2 linked regions of the Bombyx mori genome follow. The protein of the gene in region 2 purifies or fractionates together with the protein of the main gene of each other region. This does not show direct contact. Links are inferred from orthologs where the notes say so. Each region holds a gene or a part of one and is shown on either strand. Other genes may lie near its edges.

Region 1 (2,367 bases), on a different chromosome or scaffold from region 2:
TATTTACTAGGGTGCCTATCAAAATTTGGCAACCTTTTAAGCCATTACGCATAAAAGTTGCGGAAATATAGTATAATTTTTAAAATTTTAATTTGCTTAAATATTAAATTAATATGTAAGTAGCAGACGATTAAATACTTGAATAAAATCTAGTAATTTTTAAATTTGTCATTTTGAGAAAAAATACATATTTTTTGGAGTATTTATTATAAGTCGTCTCTATTACTCCCCGGTGGTTGAGAACACTAACAATCGACGCATGCGTAATGGCTTAAAAGCGTCGCACAGCCGGCAATCGCTATCCTCGTCTAACAAATGATGTTACGCGCTAACTCTCTTTCACTCTACCTTAAATATTTATCATCTTTAACAGCCAGTAACCCTTATTTGCGGCCAGATTTAATTAAGCAACCATATATGATAATTAATAGAAAAAAATTAGCTTCAATTTGACATATAATTAATAAATATACGTTATGAACGTATAAATGTATCGAAATCATACCTGTTTACACCTGGCTGCGAAGAGGTGCGGCCAGGTGCGCAACGGCAACCGTGATTTTTTAGAACCTTCATATAAATTACCGTGATGTAGACGTTATTTTATTTAAAAAATAAATAAACGAAACTTTTTACCAAAAATCAATTAAAAATAATTTAATTAAAAATAATGGCGGCCAAATTTTGATAGGCACCCTAGTAAATATATATTCTCCTAATTATAAATAAACATAAAAATTTGGTTTTAAGCAAAAAATCGATGAACGCACCAATCCTGCAGCGGGATCTTAGACTAAATGTGTTATAAATATACTGAATGTGGTTTCTGCTAAAAATCACATGAAAATCAATTTAACTATAGAGTAGATTAGCTCACAGAGGGTTCGTTTTTTTTGTTGTTGCTTAGACGGCTGGACTAGCTCACAGCCCACCCGTTGCTAAGTGGTTACTGGAGTCCATAGACATCTACAACGTAAATGCGCCTCCCACCTTGAGATATAAGTTCTAAGGTCTCAAGTATAGTTACATTAGTTTGTAGTAGTAGTATAGTAACAATAGTAATAGTAGTTATAGTTTGAGATTTGTACCTTATTTGAAATAGCTAGAGCTTTCATGCAGAGCCTGAGGTGGTGGAGTTGATATTTGAGGGTCAGTTCTCGTTCACAGCTGAAGCTCTGCAGTGTGTCCGAGCACTCAGGCACTTCGATACAGGATCGATCCTGTACAATAAAAGAAAAAATACTAATAAATTTAATTGTTAAACCCTGTTAAAGTTTGAAGTAATATATGTTGATACGGTTACGCCGGTAAGAGTAACGCCATCTATCGCTAATTAGCCGAAATTGATGTCAAAAAAGCTAGTAATACCGAGAACGTTCGAGAAGTGTAGCGCCATCTATTATCAAAGAGCAGTTTTTTTTCTACCTAAGCTGATAGCCTTGAGGGGCTATTTCAGCGGAACCTTAACTAGTAGGTGAGCTCACGGGGCTCAAACCTGACGACGTTGCTATCACGAATCCTAGCGAGAGCCGTGCTTCGCAGAATCTACCACCGGATCGGAAACGCGACCCACTGAGAAGATCCGGCGAGAAACTCAATGGGCTGTGTCTGAGGGTGGAAGCACACATCGAAACGACTAGTACTATCGGGAATGTTCTCGATAATTGCAGACTTGTCGTGTTGACTATAAAAGCGTTGCAAAGATGACATGAAGGCAGTCAGTAATCGGAACTACTCGAAGCGAAACAGCGAGCGTATCACCTGAAGCGAAGCGGAAGAAACGAATTGCGATTTGTGAAATGTGTTTTGAATGTTCTAAGTGTTGAATAGTATTTTAATTTGTACTTCGGTGAAAGTTTTGTCTATTCCGAGCCTCAGAACGTAACAGTATCATACATTAATAATTTTGATTTCGACTTTGATGACCACGACCATTCTGTTAAGAGTGATACTGACGGAGAAGAAAGAACCTTCATTATTTATTTATTGCACTTCAGGTAAGAATTACATTGGCGGACCTTAATGCCTAAGGCATTCTCTAACATTCAACCAAAGGTAGTGCAGAGTAAACAGTTGTAGGTGCAATGAAAATTTACATATACATACACACATTCATACATATAATAGTTTATATAGTATCAAAAGGAATTATCATTAAGGTCATTCAAGAAGATGTTATTGTACAACAGATACTTTGATGAGAAAACTTCATTTTATTCTTAGGTAGGCAGCGGCTAGGCTCTGCCCTTGGCATTGCTGAAGTCCATGGGCGACGGTAACCACTCACCATCAGGTGGGCCGTATGCTCGTCTGCCTACAAGGGCAATAAAAAAAATAAAAAAAAGATTATTTTTCAGAGAAATATCA
Region 2 (4,019 bases):
TATAAAAAAAAAGTCTTGATGCCACAACCTCCACCTCTTCCAGTTAGTATCTAATGTAGCTGTCTATATAAATCCAGACTATTGTAGCACTCTTGTAAAATATGTGATTAAACTCACCGATTATTTAACAACAATGCATTTGAAATTTTTAGAGGGAACTGTTTAGAGGTTTGACATTGTGGCACATATATAACGCTAATTAGATGTAATAATTATCTATATGTCGGCGCAGCGCCAGGGATGGCTAAGCGGTTGTTTCCGTCATCACTTGTATTCGATTGAACTCAGTTTAGTCAATAAAACTTTTGAATAATAATTATTGAAACTCAAAACACACAACTTTCACAATGACAGGGTAAACCGACAGTTTCGTTCCACATAGCGACAGACCGACTGACTGACTGCCAGAGACTCACTGACTGAGACGGACGGACCGTCCGATACGGACTGAATGACTGTCTGATACGGAATGCCACGACTCTTTTTTTTTTCCTTCCTAAGCTGGTAGCCTAGAGAGGCTATTCCAGCGGAACCTTAACTAGTAGGTGAGCTCACGGGGCTCAAACCTGACGACGATGCTAACTAATGAAAATGTGTTAATGAACCTCATTCTGTTTCAATTCCAATCCCTGTAGTACATTATTTAAATGGAATTCTTGCACGGGCATTTTCCTTGCTTCAGAAAACGTTAAGTGTCTCAATAGCACTGGTGCACCAAAGGTTAGGGCATCCATATCTTCTGTGGCTGCTGCAAAAACTTTACCGGATTTTACCTGTAAGTATTTCTTGTGTTAAGAAGTAGGTAGTATCATAGTACAGATAGTTAATTTTTTCGTAGTGGCTTGAAGATTAAGACGCTCATTGCATTTGTATCAAATCAATATATCTACTTAGTTACTGGTGGGGTACCACCACCCTCTTTATTTCTGCCATGAAAAGAGTTTCTGTTTGATGGATGGGGCATTGTTAATCTAACTATAATACTATAAATACTACTAAATTATAAATCTGAGACTTAGAACTCATGTGTCAAGGTGAGTAGCAGTATTTACGTTGTTAATGTTTATAGAGTCCAGTGACCACTTTAGACCATGTGGGCCGTGAGCTAGTCCATCCATGTAAGAAAAAAAAGCAATCATTTCCCAAGTCATCATTATTGTCAATTTATTACATATGCTGCATATTGTAAGAACATGATGCTGCTGGAGCTTCAAGCACAATTATTTATACACTGCATATTTTTTCAATAGTTTAAGAGATTGGTACAGTCAAAATCATTGAAGAGCATAGTTTTACAGTTAGTAGTGTCACTAGTAATTAAGTACATAACTTGATGAATATATAAAAGACTACATACAAGAGCTGCACACTGGGCTTCAGCCTCACAGGGTGCATCAACAACCGGGACACCCATCAATTTGAGGAGTTGTTTAGCCTCTTCACTGTGTTGTTTTGTTACTTTAACCAAACGTCTGTTGAACTTGTCCACTGAAGCTGTGTCACCTGAAATGTTTTTATGTTTTTGTAGTTTTAAATTTTATGCTATAAATGCGAAAATCATTAGGTAAGGAAGTTTCAGGATATTTCAATATATGTTTTTCACTCACAAAACAATGACAAAAGGTAGATTAATGCTTAAATTACAATTTACTTTCGTTTTATTACAATTTACTTTTGGACACTTGCAACTTTTGGTCACAAACAGACAACTGCCTAACACAAATGTACCATGTGTTGTTATTTGCAAAGTTTCCAGAGTAAATCATAGAACAACCTTACCGGCTTCAGTAGCTTTTTGCAATTCTTTCTCTGCTTCCTCTCTCCTTTCTGCTCTCTTATTCAACTGATGAGCCTTCATGTCTGGAGGTTTCCCGTCAAAGACATACACTGGTTTAATCCCATTTTCTACCAGTCTTATAGTACGGTAAAATGTACCCATCAGATGTGATGTAGTCTCTCCGTCTACAGAGACTAGTTGGGCTCCTAAAATAATTAATGAGTAATTTGTGGTGCATTTCCTATCAAATTATTGACAAAGACTTTTATTACTAGTCAATGCTTAGGCTACTAAGGAATAGGATGGAAAAAAGTAAGATTCATTAAAAACTTAATGAAATAATGTGGCTACTAAATGAAATGTATTTTTTCAAGCACTATGTGATATTACAGTTTAATCTTATATATATTTATCTGGGATATATTAAAAATAGATGAGTGGATACTAAACAAAAATTACTATAATTAATGAATTTGATTAGTTTGAAGTTGCTTTTGTTGTCGTTATTAATCTTTTAGAAAAATCTTTATGTAAATAATGGCATACCTATTATTATTGTTTGTGAAAACCATAATTTCACCATTATGTTACATTATTAATATACTCTTACTTTATCTTTTATCAAGAGTTTTCATAACGATCTAATAAGAAGACCACCTATACCATATCTCAACCAACAAAATTCTTACATCCGCAAAGAATTTTATGAATCAAAACATTACTTACCTTCACTTCTTACGGCGATAAGGAACTGATATAAGCTCATAGAAGCATCAATAGCTATTTTTCTTCCTGAGAATACGAAAAAATAGTATTTTTTATACACGAGGCTTATATCTCAAGAAATAAGTATAATTTATGAAGTGAATGTCTTACCAAAGTAATTTTTGATTTCCATTTCTTTGACAGCATGAGGTGCTATGTCAGCAATTAACTTAGATAAACCTAGAATACCCATTTTGATTTGATTCAAATAACTTTAACTAATTTTACAGTACTATTCAATACATCATATAAATTTAGCGGGAGTTTTGACATAGGTAACACAAGCTGCAATTTGGACAGCTGACATATGTACCAGTTTCTTTGTTGATTTTTTTTAGGTGTAGGTTTCATACTTCAGTGGTTTTAGTATGACAATACTGTGTGCTATGAAAAATGACAAAGAGTGATACGAAATGCAATCAATTCATTTGAATTTTTAATATGTTAGAAGCATGGAATTAATAAGTACCGCCAACTAAAATAAAAATACTAAACTAAAAATTACTAATCTATACCTACTAAAGAAGAAAGAAAAAGAAGAAGAAGAAACTAGATGAGGTAATGCGACAAAAAATTAAATGATGATGATGACTTTGGTTAATAAGCTATGGCTAACATATATATTAAAGATTTAAGCTCGAAATATTCTAATAAAATTAGAACAAAACTAAAATAAAACAAACAAAATAAAACAATTTACATGTTTTCACTCCTCGCATTCCTAGCAAAAACTTCAATGGTAGATTTCAACAACGCAACCAACAAAATCGATTTTAAAGATTTTTTACACGATAATGGATAAAAATAAAGTAATTTAATTTTAGAACAATTACTTTTGTACGTCTGCGAAGATAAATTTTAGGGTATTTATCTTTTGGAATTTAATATTAATATTAAATTAATTTATTGCAGCTTTCAGTATTTGTATCCGTAATCTAAAAAACACTTTGCATTGGTTTACCTACCTACTCTGTAATCATGGCTATTTGTATTTGACAGTAAACAGCTGATAGATCTAGAGAAAAGACGTAGGTACCTACATTAGATAGTCTAAATTACTCTTTTGTTTTGTCGGTCTATCGGACACGTAAATAAAAGGATAATGGGTAATTTGTTCAGCGTCAGCATGGAAGAAAATTACAAAAGGAACCAAGAATTCTTGCAAACTATAAACAAAGTCAAGGTATTTAATATTTTACTGCGATGGTGTCATTATTTATTTAAAGCTGTTACGGTGATACACCAGTGATTTATTGTTACAGATGGAGAGACAAATACAACTACAATATCAAATGCAAGAACGCCAAATGGCCTTGGAAATAGCTAAAAACAGAGACACATGTCTGTGGATTACTGCTTTTTATATAACGACCGCAACGGGATTGTTTACAGGGTAGGTACTTTGTTTTTTAACGTACTGGCTGTTTTTTTTTTTTGTATCTTTATTTTTTGTTTCTTTGTGTTGGCAACATGATCA

The links.
Region 1: the proteins of flap endonuclease 1 (region 2) and cell cycle checkpoint protein RAD1 purify together in Homo sapiens (affinity purification with western blotting; 3 studies listed by BioGRID). This does not show direct contact. The link is inferred for Bombyx mori from reciprocal best matches to the Homo sapiens genes FEN1 and RAD1.

Annotation. Positions count from the first base shown.
Region 1 is NC_085122.1:11,571,171-11,573,537, reverse strand, and holds part of cell cycle checkpoint protein RAD1, read right to left. Parts: intron 1,221-2,367; coding exon 1,089-1,220; intron 1-1,088. UniProt on the Homo sapiens protein: Component of the 9-1-1 cell-cycle checkpoint response complex that plays a major role in DNA repair. The 9-1-1 complex is recruited to DNA lesion upon damage by the RAD17-replication factor C (RFC) clamp loader complex.
Region 2 is NC_085126.1:8,809,277-8,813,295, reverse strand, and holds the start of flap endonuclease 1, read right to left. Parts: upstream 2,880-4,019; 5' UTR 2,736-2,879; coding exon 2,654-2,735; intron 2,570-2,653; coding exon 2,504-2,569; intron 1,984-2,503; coding exon 1,780-1,983; intron 1,504-1,779; coding exon 1,358-1,503; intron 774-1,357; coding exon 606-773; intron 1-605. Other genes in the region: plasminogen receptor (KT), read left to right, coding at 3,645-3,725, 3,805-3,935. UniProt on the Homo sapiens protein: Structure-specific nuclease with 5'-flap endonuclease and 5'-3' exonuclease activities involved in DNA replication and repair.